Linked DNA regions of Elephas maximus indicus. The protein of the gene in region 2 interacts with the protein of the main gene of each other region in a biochemical or structural test. Links are inferred from orthologs where the notes say so. Each region holds a gene or a part of one and is shown on either strand. Other genes may lie near its edges.

Evidence for each region.
Region 1: the proteins of RAF1 (region 2) and PEBP1 form a complex in vitro, tested with the Homo sapiens proteins (3 studies listed by BioGRID and IntAct, with this or other methods). The link is inferred for Elephas maximus indicus from reciprocal best matches to the Homo sapiens genes RAF1 and PEBP1.

Annotation. Positions count from the first base shown.
Region 1 is NC_064840.1:15,685,895-15,692,359, forward strand, and holds the start of PEBP1 (phosphatidylethanolamine-binding protein 1), read left to right. Parts: upstream 1-2,906; 5' UTR 2,907-3,003; coding exon 3,004-3,138; intron 3,139-4,246; coding exon 4,247-4,356; intron 4,357-5,043; coding exon 5,044-5,144; intron 5,145-6,465.
Region 2 is NC_064838.1:37,863,005-37,869,469, forward strand, and holds the start of RAF1 (RAF proto-oncogene serine/threonine-protein kinase), read right to left. Parts: upstream 3,433-6,465; 5' UTR 3,025-3,432; intron 1-3,024. UniProt on the Homo sapiens protein: Serine/threonine-protein kinase that acts as a regulatory link between the membrane-associated Ras GTPases and the MAPK/ERK cascade, and this critical regulatory link functions as a switch determining cell fate decisions including proliferation, differentiation, apoptosis, survival and oncogenic transformation.

The DNA of each region.
Region 1 (6,465 bases), on a different chromosome or scaffold from region 2:
AACCATCTCCTTGATATAAATCAAGCCCTGGCGGTATAGTAGTTAAGTGATACGGCTGCTAACCAAAAGGCCAGCAGTTCAAATCCACCAGCCAGACCTTGGAAACCCCAGGGGGAAGTTCTACTCTGTCCTCTAGGGTCTCTGTGGGTCGGAAACAACTCGAAGGCAACAGGTTATATATATTTATACACTTTACTGGTTTTGCTTCTTTAGAAAACCCAGCATGTCACTGAATGTGATATTTTATGAGAAAATGAAGCTTTAATGACCTGAACCTGAAACCAACCAGATGATTTCTTAAAAAATTCACTCATTTTCTTATAATGATAATATCATGTACCGAGTATGTCAGACACTATTTTAGGTGCTGGGGACATGACCAATGAACAAGAGAGACAACCCTCATGGGGTTTATTTTCAAGTATCCTCGGGTGTGTGTGTGTGTGTGTGTAGGAGGTGGTTCAGTAGTTCCAAATGCTCTGAGTGTTAAGAAGGAGGAAGGACAGGGTAGATGTGAATGCAGAGACCAGGACGTTTCCCCCAGTCTTTATGGATGGGAGAAGGCAGAAGTGATGTTTAAGATGAGCAAATGTAAGCTGGGACAAGAGTACAGTGAGGGTTGGGGGGGATGGAGGGAACAGCATGTGCAAAGGCTCAGAGGTAGCAGTGGTCAAAGAGAGTGATACCAGGGGCCTCACTAGGCAGTAGCATTGTGAGGAAAAGAAGTGGACTGATTAGAATGGCATTAAGAAGGTAGAATTTATAGAGCTAGTGACCAATTGCTTTTAGGGGAAGGAAGGAACAAGAATGGCAGCCAGGAGCAGAAATGTCTAGAATTTCTACCTTTCCCAACAGGTTTTGTATCAATCACCTCACCTTCTCACTGCAGCAGCCTGCCCTGAGCCTCCGGTAAAGAGATGGTGAAGGTGACTTTCCAGAGGTCATATGGGGAGTTAGTGCAGAACTCCTTCAGGTTACTCTATGATGCTGGCCCACAACCTGGGCCTGTCTTTTCTCCCTGACCCTTATCACAGTTGAGGGTGCTACATTTATCCAGCATCATCGATTAAGTCTAAAAAAAAAAAAAATTTTTTTTTTTTCCATTGCTAGCCCATGTGTGCCATGAGGGCAGGGACGGTTATTGGTTTTGCTTAGAAGGTTCTCAAGATGCATTTACAGAGCGAATGTAGGAAAGAAACCAACAATCATATCATCACTTCTTCTTTGAAGGCATTGTTTCCAGTCTGGACTCTGACACTTAACTAGCTGTGAGGCTTGGAGTAAGTCACTGCATTCCACTTATTTCTTTTACTCATCTGTGACTTTTAAAGTACATATCTTTGGCTTAGACAGCCTTCTTCTAGTATATTTTCCTAAAATCATCTGCCAGATGTGTAAAAATATGTGTACAAGGACGTTCATTTCAGAGATATTTTTAAAAGGAAAACCAAACCAAACCACCTAAATGTCCAACACTAAAAGTTTGTTGAATAAATTATGGCACGGCTATAGAATAGCCATTAAAATGATGAAGATTTATATTGGATATGGATGTTCTACAATGGTAGAGTAAAATGTCATTTTTGTGTGAAAAAAACAAAATCACCTATACCCATTGCTTTTTAAACAGGAAATATATACTCCAAATTGTCACCTATGTTTATATTCAGGTAGTGGAATAGAAGTCTTACTTTTTTTTCCTCTGAATTTTCTACAATGAACTTGTATTATTTCCTAATAAGAAATGAAAACAACAATTATTTTAGTCCCTAGGAGGTAGTTTTAAATGTCAAAGACTGTCCTAGGGCCAAATCAGATCAAGACCATTAGAAAGTACCTATTATATTTAGTCTTTGGTATTTTTTGGTGTCCTCGATGTTCTTTGCCAACACCGTAATTCAAATGCATGAATTCTTCTTCAGTCTTCCTTATTCACTGTCCCGGGACTGCCAGAAGAATGAACGAATCTTGGAAGAAGTACAGCCAGAATGTTCCTTAGAAGCAAGGATGGTTCGTCTCATATACTTTGGACATATTACCAGGAGGGACCAATCCAAAGAGAAGAACATCAGGCTTGGTAAAGTAGAGGGTCAATGAAAGAAAGAAGACCCGCAATGAGATGGATTGACACAGTGGCTGCAACAATGGGCTGAAACATAGCAAGGCACAGGACGGGGCAACGTTTCCTTTTGCTATGTATTTTTTTTTTTAGTCGAACGGACTAGTTGGCACCTAACAACATTATATTTAGCAAAAAGAAAGCGGTTGGTGGCTACAGTGAAAGGAGTTTTGGTGGATGCGGAGCTACTTGTCAATAAAATAGGAATTATGGTTTAAAAAATAATTTTTCAGGAATCTTGTGATGATCATGTGGGAAGGAGGATGAAATATATGTGCAAATATATGTATATGTATGTACATATATGTATAAAAATGTATACGTATACATATATGTATAAAAAAAAACAAAAACATTTATACAGAGGAAGAAGTAAACGCTCAAGAGTGAGGAAAATGCTGCAAAGCCTGGTCAGGCGCTCACTCAAAACAAGTGAGCATGCGCGAAAGTACAGGGCGCCTGTTACAAGACGTACAGGAGAAAAAGCAAGGCGTTTCATTTCTGAATTTTGAATATAGAGCAAGGAAACATGCAAAAAAGTTAAAAAAAAAAAAAAGTCAAAGTTAGTTCAATTGCATTTCTTGAAACAACGGCCTTGCAAGCCCAGCAATAGTCCCAGGGGCCTCGGCGTCCGCGGTAGTACATTTTTCTGGCGCAAAAGCAAAGCAAACCCAACTGCTGCATTGAGCCGGTGGCGCGAGACGCCCTGCGCTACCCGTCGGACCAATCAGAGATCAGACTGCGCCGCAGGGGCGGGGGCGTGGCGAGGCGCGCCGGCGCGTGCGCTCTCGTTGTCGCTGCGCGGCTTCTGGTCGGTGCTGCTGGGCTGTGGTGCGCTTCGCCTGCCGCTGCGTTGCTGACTGCCCGCCGCGCTCGGCCCCGCGATGCCGGTAGATCTCAGCAAGTGGTCCGGGCCCCTGAGCCTGCAGGAAGTGGATGAGCGGCCGCAGCAGCCGCTGCAGGTCAAATACGGCGGGGCGGAGATCGACGAGCTGGGCAAAGTGCTGACGCCCACCCAGGTATCCGGGGCGGCGGGAGGCCCGGGCGCCCTGCGCTCCGTCACGGCGGCGGGGGTGCAGCTGCTCTCGGCTTGCCGCCGTGTGCGGGCCGGCGGGGGCTGGGGACGGGGTTGCTGCCTGCGTGCGCTGCAGGCTTGGGGACAGGCCCGAGTCCCCGGGACCCGGCACGTGGCGCACGCGGTTGGCCGGCTGGAGAAACTGATCTGCTTTGCCAGGACTTAAAGGCACCGAGAGGGCCCGGAAGAAGCCCCGACTACGGGCGCAGGGACGGGGAGGGGGCCGTGGGGACTCGGGAGTGGGGGCCTCCATTTGGGGAGCAGAAGCGTCGCTGGAGAACACGTGACGCGTTATGTAACAGCGACCCGCAGTGCCTAGCGTTTTCTCCTTTGTTTTAGCGGTCGTGGAATCCACCCAAAGGGAGTAAGGACGTTCTGCAGCTGGCGGACGGTTCTGCAGCTGGCAGGTTCCAGGGCAACGGCCGGCCTTGTTCTACCGTTTGGCCCTCCTGGAGCCGGTGGCAGAGCCATGACCGGGTCCTGCCTGCAGAAAGTAGAGAAACTAGGTTTTCCGACGCCATTGTTAGTTGCTGGTTATGAAGCTTCAGGCCACAGCGTGAATAAACTGTTCTGACCTCAGGGTTTTATTTTTTTAATGTTTAAACAAAGTGACCATCTTGGAGCTGACCCAGCCTCCCTTTTCTCATATTAACTGCCTCACCAGCTTCCCTATTTCTTTTTCTCTGCACTGTAAATGCCCAGTTAATTGAGATTTCCTTTTAGCAGGCTCCAGGTAACCTGTCCACTTAGTCTTCCCAGTACTTTTCCGCTGAGGGTGAGCGTTGAGTTTGGAGACTCAGTCAAGGCCAGCGTTGGACTCGTGGCCCCACCTCCTTCTGTTACTAACGTACTGGGACATCACCCCCGCGGTGTTGTTGGCGTTAAATACTGTATTTACAACTTCAGCTCCTGGCTGTTCAGTAGACTCAATACGAAGTTAACGTTTATTAGTAATTGACTTTGTTTTACCTTTAAGGAAGGCCAGATCTAAGAAAGAACATTGGTTTCTTCAGCAATTCTTGAATTAACTCCGAACTGGTTCCTCACTACAGGTTAAGAACCGCCCCACCAGCATTGCATGGGATGGCCTGGATTCAGGTAAACTCTACACCTTGGTTCTGACAGACCCAGATGCCCCCAGCAGGAAGGACCCCAAGTACAGGTAAGTTGGGGGTAGGTGAGGAACAATGAATGGGCCATGCAAATATGATCTGCATTTTTCAGACTGTGTAAGTTTACAGCTGGGTAGCTCTACTAGGAAAAGTGGACCTGGTTTGGGATGTTCACACCCATGCTTAAATCAGCCTGTATTTCGTCCCCTTCCCTCCCTAGAGCAGAGGTCTGTAAACGACAACTGAGAGCCAAGTCCACCCACAGCCTGTTTTTTTCTGGCCTTGTCAGCTAAGAATGGTTTCTGTGTTTTATAAATAGTTGGAAAAAAATGTGAAAGAAGAATAATACTTTGTGACATAAATCTTATCTGAAATTCCACTTTCAGTGTCTATAAATAAAGTTTTGTTGGAAAACAGTGTGATTATTTATTTATGTTTTGTTTATGGCTGTTTTCAGCCGCACTGCAGAGTTGAGTAGCTGCCACAGAGACAGTATGACTTGCAAAAACGTAAAATCTTTGCTCTCTGTCCCTCACAAAAAGTTTGCTAAGGCATGCAGTCTACGGGAGGGTGGGGCTGGGTCCTCTCTCCTGCATACAGATGAAGCTCGCACTGGCCAGTGTCTGTCTGGTTAGGCTGCAGCCTGGCCTGGAATGTGATGTGCTCAGTACGCATTTGCTGGTGCAGTGAACCTGTGATTTCCTGTGGTGTTGATGACCCTGTGTTCCTCCGCGTAGGGAATGGCACCACTTTCTGGTGGTCAACATGAAAGGCAACGACATCAGCAGTGGCACAGTCCTCTCCGATTACGTGGGCTCTGGGCCTCCCAAGGGCACAGGTCAGTTAAGGCTGCTTTTGCGGGGAGGTGAAGGGGGACCTGGGTTAACACATTTTAGTTTGCTTTTTGAACTGGTACTCTTTTTATTTATGAGCGCCCTTAACCCCATGTGAGATTTAAGGCAGCTCATTTCAGCTTCAGAGTGGTTGGCTCCCAGAGTCCATTCAGACCTGCAGGAGTGTCCAGTAGTTAGAATCCTGGGTTCTGGCGTCAGATGGACCCTCTGTGTAGAATTACCTCTCAGCCACTTGGCCTTTAGGAAGCAAGAAAATTTGATGAGAAGATTCCAACATGGTGCTATTGTAGAAAGCTCGGAGTGGTTTTCTAGTGGATTGAATACAGTTAAACCATCTCAATTCTATATGCAGCCTCTGCCCTGTGTGATCTTTGAGTTTCTAATTCCTGTCAAAGGTCGCAGAAATGTCACAGCTTCCAATTATTAAAAACAAATTGGCTTTCTTATCTTTTTATGGCTCCTCTTTTCTTTCTCTCACAAATCTAATTAGTGACCTTGAAAAAATTTTGAGAACTTCTGAAGGCACACACGTACATATTGTATTGCATTGTATGACACATGTTATATGAGAAACAAATGAGAGAGGGAGAGAACACAGCTTTGAAACTCTCCAAGTTGAGTAAGGGCTCCCTAAGCTGCTAATAAATATTAATAACAATAAGCTGATGCATTATTGTTACCTCTGGTGCATTACAGCAGCTTTCCATTTTCTGGAACAAAGAAATAGTTATGGGTGGGGCATGGCAGAGTACTAGCTTTCATACATATTGTCCAGCCATGAGTTAGTGTGAAGGGGTACAGGGAGATCCCTGATAAGAGCAATTGGTCATGGACTCAATGTTTTATCTGTAGACCCAGAAGCTTCAGATGGCTTCTTGTCCTCTGATGCATCATAACAGGAAGTTAAAGGGACATGTTTCCCAGGGATCTATTAAGCTCTCTAGGGCAGTTTTAAAATTAGGCGGGTTAATTATGGGAAGTATTCTCATGAGAATAAAGCAATTCTCTGCAGTAGGAACTGTGTTCTCATATTTTTAAAAAAGCCTCAGAAATTGACTTTTTGCTTTGTTCATACTTTTAGTAAGGCATAATTTATGTATAATAAAACGTACAGACCATAAGGGCTCAGTTAATGAATTTTGACCCAGGCATACGCCCACGTAACCACTATCCAAAATAAAATATAGGACATTTCCGTCTCCCTAGAAGGTTCTTGTGTGACCTTTTCAGTTAAATTCTCTCAGAGGTAACCATTTTCTGACTCCTATCTCTGTAGATTACTTTTGCTGTTCTTGTATTCACACA
Region 2 (6,465 bases):
AAGGGAATTGCAATCAGGGGAATCTACCTTGTTTTACTATATAAAACACATTTGCTATTCCAAAAATATTCACTAGCATTTTCAGGTGCTTTATAAAATCTGTCAAATTCTATATGACTGGTGAGCATGGTTTATATTGTCAACAGCCATTTAAAACTGAAAATTAGTAAAATGTACATTATATTCAACATTTTGTGAGCAAACATAACTTTAGAGGAATCTTGTGCATGAATCCCTAAGAATGTGACATCAGTCCATTCACTACTGTATAAATGGAAAGCATTTCATCTAAAACACTTTAAAAATGTTCCTAACTGGGTTTAACGAAGTAAATCTTTTTAATTACTATCAGCTTTAATATCATCAAGAGAGGGACCAAAGTAAATGACGACAGTAACAGGTACCCAAGAATAAACGACTACCCAGGTAAATGCTGTAACGAAACTCTGCAACAGTAATAACAACCAAAAATTTGCGAGTGGTTACATAGGTAGGAAACCCTGGTGGCAGAATGGTTAAGTGCTACGGCTGCTAACCGAATTGGTGAGCAGTTTGAATCCACTAGGCGCTCCTCGGAAACTCTAGGAGACAGTTCTACTCTGTCCTATGGGTCGCTATGAGTTGGAATCGAATCAATGGCACTGGGTTTTTTTTTTTTTTTTGGTTGCATAGGTAGACATGTATGCTATATAGGTACAGGTGGCCGTATACGAGTATATGCAAGTGCATATATAGGTATAGTTGTGGGCATTTGTATATACATATTTGTATGTTCTGCATATATACTCATATATATATAATAGAGCATACATATATGGGACACAGTTATGGAAACTTCTTAGACATACCCAAACACCTCATGGGACTGAGTTACTGGGTTTGGAGGCTAAGGACCACAGTCTCAGGGGACATCTAGATCAATTGGCATAACATAGTCCATAAAAATAATGTTCTAAATCCTAGTTTGGTAAGTAGCATCTGGGGTCTTAAAGGATTTTGAGCGGCTGTCTAAGGACACAACTACTGGTCTCTTCCTGTGTGGAGCAAAGGAGGGTGAAGGAAACCAAAGACTCAAGGAAGCAATGAGTCCACAGGACTAATGGCCCACACAAACCAGTCTCCTCTAGCCTAAAACTAGAAGAATTAGATGGTGCCGGTTACCACTACCAAACACTCTGACCAGGGACACAATAGGAGAACCCGGTTAGAGTTGGAGAAAATGTAGAACAAAATCCAAATTCATAAAAAAAAAAAAAAAGACTTACTAGACTGACAGGGACTGGAGGAACCCCCTGACTATCGCCCTAAGACACCCTTTTAACCTGGAAATGAAGCCACTCCCAGAGGTCACTTTTCAGCCCAATAATAAATTGGCCTATAAAATAAACAGCAACACCTGTGAGGAACGTGTTCCTTAGAACAATCAACTATATGAGCAACATCTGCCCAAAAAACAAAGCTGAGAAGGCAAGGAGGGGCAGGGAAAGTGGACAGAGGCAAACAGGGAAGGCAGAGTGGAAATGGAGAAAGTGCTGATACGTTGCAGGGGTAGCAACCAATGCGACGGAACAATTTGTGAACTGTTGAATGGAACACTAATTTGCTATGTAAACTTTCACCTAAAACACAATAAAACGTTCAAAAAAAAAGAGGAGAAAAATGATTAGGTATCAGTAAGAATAAAAAATTAGCAACACCTATTTTTTATTCAGAAGAATCCAAATTAAACCAACTAATTCACCACTGTGTTCAAACAAAGAAAGACCCTTAACAATCTAGCAACTTTTCTTCTGGACTCTCTTCTCTCACTATTTCCCTGCACCCCAAACTATTTGCTTGCTCCCCAAACTCATCCCAATTCCTGCATGCCTCCTTTCCTATCAGGAGTTCTCTCCGCTAGGAATGCCCTTCCCCTCCTCCTCACCTAGTGAGCACTTACTCATCAGTCCTTCAAAACTCGGCGCAAAAGTCCCCTCTGGCGTACACTCCTCCTTAGGTCCCCTAGGTAAAACTAGGTGTTCTAAGTTCCCACAGCACTCGGCAAGCCAATCCTTATCATATGGCGTTGTTCTCACGTCTTGGGAGCGCACGGAGGGCCGTTTCTCCCCACTCACCCTGCACAGGGCTAGGCAGGCAGAAAAGCTCCGCGAACGTGTGAATTCATTCCCTACCTAGATTAAGTGACCTCCTCGAACCCGGTCACATCTCAAGGAGACAATATGAGACCCCATCATTCTTCCCACTAGAGAATGAATACCATGGGCACACCCAGACCCTGGAAAATGAACAACGAACGAACACAAGCGCCTCGCCTCTCGGGATCCTAACTCCTCTCTCGGGGCACCGACTAGCTAGCTCTGCAGAGCCTGTGCAGTTGCAAGGCTGAAGCGTCCCGGCAGCGGCTCTTATTTCACACAAAAGACAGCCCTGGATCTTCATTCCGAAGCATCCCGGGGCCCATGCTCAGCCTAAGCATCCTAAACCTTTCATTAGGAACCCACAGAGTCCTGAAACCCAAGGCGAGGCCCCTATGCCTTTGTGATGGGGCACTGACCCATATCCTTTCTTCTCAATTCCTTTCATCCTCCCTAAAAGAGTGACATTGGGGTGAAGGACCCCGAGAGAAGGTGCAGGCCCGGGTACCCACCCCGCGACCAGAAAAGAAAAAGGAATTAGCTCATCCGGGTGACAACACCGATACGGGGCAGCTCTGGGCGGATTCTCCCACTGCCAAAATATGAGGAATGTGCACTGGGCACAGGGGTGGCGCTGGCACGTTTCCCCGAAACACAAGGAAATCTGAGTGGGGATATGGGAACTTGGGTCGCCGGCCATGACACCCGGCCCCGGGCACCCCTGCCGCCCAGCGCCACCCGGGGTGACAGCGGCCTGGCCCAGGCCCTCCGCCCGGGCAGCCGCGGGGCCGCTCCGTCAGCGCCGCCCAGGCCCAACCGCCAGGGAACCCGGTCCCTCGGCCCCGCCGCCCCGCTCCCCCGGCTTCCAGTACCCGGCGCCGCCGCCTACCTGAAGGAGCCAGGCCGACCCCGCGTTCCGTCGTCCGGCGGCGGCGTCCAGTCCGCTCCTCCTCCCCGCGGAGAGTGAGGGAGCGGGAGGCGGTCACATTCGACGCGTCCCCAACCCCGGGGACGGGGCCCCGGGCAGTCCCCGCATCGTCCCACTCGCGCTCTGCGCCTTAGGATACACACCCCAAAGCCTCGCCAACTGGCCCGCTGCGGGGCCCAGGGAAAACCGCAGGGAAGCCTTCCCGCCTCACGCTCGCTCTCGTCTTACTCCCGCCATCTAAGATGGCGGCCCCAGCGCCCGCAATGAAGACACTCTCGGGCGGCCCCGGCGAGCGAACCCTGCGCTCGGTGCTCCTCCTCCCGGCCTGCTGCGCCACCGGCTCTGCTTCTGCGCGAGCCCGCCTGGCAGCCGACTACGAGCTTGGTTCGGGCATCTGTCGTTCTGGTCTGAACTCGGGCCCGCCTCCTAGGGGAGGGCCGTAGCCTCGCGCTCCTGGCGGTCGCCATTTCGGAGCTGAGGAGGCTGCGAAGAGGGCTTGGGGGGGTTATCGGCTAGGCGGCGGCGGCCAGGCGGGGCCGGGTCTGAGGGCCGGGTCTGAGGGCCGGGGGAGCTCCTGGCAGCCTGGCGTGACCAGACGTCCCCCAGGATGCACAGCACGGAGGACAGTGACCAGCTTTGGCGCGTCCTCTCCGTAGTCGAACACCTCCGACGCCGAGTTACGACTTTGCCACTCACGGGTTGTGTGGGAAAGCCACTCTTTCTGAGACCCTCTTCATCTATAAATTGGGGGTTCATCCCCCGCCTCCCATCAGATTGACAAAAAATTTAAAGACTGGTAATAGCCAGTTTGGTCCAAGATATATAAAAACCTGCCGTGTACCCTAACAGCGCTGGCACGAATACATACCGGACGGCAATTTGACGTTACCAACTTGTTTTTTTTTTTTTTTTTTAACCCTGGGGGCGCAGTGGTTAAGAGCTCGGCTGCTGACCAAAGGTTGGCAGTTCGAATCCACCAGCCGCTCCTTGGAAACCTTATTGGGCCGTTCTACTTTGTTCTATAGGGTAGCTATGAGTCGGAATGGACTGGACGTGGCAGCGGATTTGGTTGGGCGTTTATTCACATTTTTAAATGTATATACCTTTCCAGCAATTCCACTTCCGTACAAATATGTACTCATAATGCACAAAAAGAAATGTGCAAGGACGTTTATTGCTAACCAAAAAGTCAGCAGTTCGAATCCACCAGCGGCTCCTTGGAAACCCTTTGGGGCAGTTCTCTGTCCTGTGAGGTCCCTATCTCCTAGGCAACGGTTTTGGCTTTTTGGTTTTGGGTTAGAAAAACATTGGGAAAATGTGGTTTAATTAAATAGAACACTGGTTAAATAAACAGCGCCACATCCACAGTATGGAATGTCACCCATCTGTTAAAAACTATGAGCTAAGTCTATGTATTTACAAGGAGCCTTGGTGGCGCTGGGCAGTTCCAACCCACTAGCAGTTTGGCTGGAGAAGTCCTGAAGATCTGCCCCTGTGAAGATGATAGGGTCGCTATGAGTTGGAACGGACTCCACCGGCACCTAATAAAAACAATGATTACACCCTTGAAAACCCTATGGGGCAGCTCTACTCTGTAGTGAGTCAGAATCAACTTGACTGCAAAGTTTTTTGTTGTTTTGGGGGGGGCGGGCGTTAAGGCTGTACCTATTAAAAAAAAATCCTCCAAGGCAGTTTTTCAAAAATTGGAGTATGTACAGTATTTATGCAACACGAGCCACAAAGCTACTTAGTACCATTAGCTACATTCATTATTTAAATTGTGTAGCACACACTGTTCTGGGTATTGGGAAATCAACAATAATCAAAATACCTGTCGCCTAGTGATGGGACACACACAAAGTGTAAATAAATTCAGGTTCTAATACGTGCTCTGTAAAGAAAAATGCAGCGAGATGAGATGATAACAGGAGTATATGGACCTACATAAAAATAAATGCAGGGAAAAGTCTGAAGGCATAACATATGCAGGAGAGTGAAGAGGAATTTTTTTTTTTTTTAATGGGAATATAACCATAATACCCACCTCGTAGGATTAAATGAGATAAAACACTAGAGCACTTAGCACAGAGCCTGGGGGTTGAGACTTCATGTGGACCCAGACTGCTTAGGTTCAAATTTGGACTCTGCCACTTCCTAATGTGACTTGGGCAAGTCACTTTAACCTCTCAGTTCCTCAGTTTCCTCGTCTGTAAAGAAAAGGTGATAGTACCCACCTCTTAGAGTTGTCAGGATTGAGTGAGTTTAAGATGTAAAACACTTGGAACAGTGCCTGGCAGGCAGTAAGCATTCTAGAAGTGTTAGCTGTAATTGTTACAGCTATCTCTTATCATATCATCCTCATCATCCGTATTATTACTTGAGACAGAGCAGCCAGGCTACACTTGCTAACCCCAGGCCATTTCTTCCTTCAGTGGCCTCCCCGCGCGCCCCCCCCCCCCCGCCAGCTGGTATGTGCCCAGCGCTTTACAGTTTAGAAAGCTTGAAGATCCTGTGCCGCATTCAGACCTCATAGCTGGCCTATGTTTTTTAGGTGAGGGAATGGAGACACAAAAATTCAATCGCTTAAGCCAGGTCACCTAACACACAGACACAGATAGCTTCGTCTTACTCCTAGCCCAGCCCGGGTTTGAAGCCCTTATCACCACCATGATTTGAAGGTTTGTCCAGAGATAAAATCGTATCGGACTTCAGTGGGCTCTCAGGGACCTCCCAACCCCTGTCATGGAGAAGAGTGACTCCAGCTCCCCCACCACCTACCTCCTCACTCTCTACCTCCCTCCTCTTTGCCCCCTGCCCACCTGGTGTTGATTCCTCTCAGCCCTGGCAGTTCAGCAAGCTACAGAGTGTACCTTTACCCCAGCTGTCTGCAGGTTGCCACTTACTCTCTTCTCCTCTTGAGTAATCCCAGTGTTCTGGTAACAGGGATTGCTAACTCAAGTTACCACAGGGACCAGGCAGTGATGTAAATGACAGAAGTTGGCCTGGTGTGGGGGGCTCCAAAGAGAAATGGGAGGAAGGAAGGAGTCAGTAATGGTTTGAAAGAAGAATGGATGCCCCAAGATCTCAGATAAACAGAGGAGGGAAGGAATGTGAGGGGTCACAGCTGGCAGGAGAGTGATGGGGGAAGGGGAACATGTGAACTTCCCTGGATGTTGGAATGTTCTACTTCTTGTCCTGGTGAAAATTGGTCATGTTATACACTTAAGATATTTCTATTTTTCTCTATATTTGTTACACCTCAATAAAAAAAAAAAAAAAAAGATTGTGAAAGATGGAGAGTAAGGTCTTTAAGCCTGGCAGAAAGGGTACACTTGTCACTGAAGGAGAGAAAATTTTAACAGGTGACAGCTACCATTTGTGGGGTATCTTCATATATCAGGC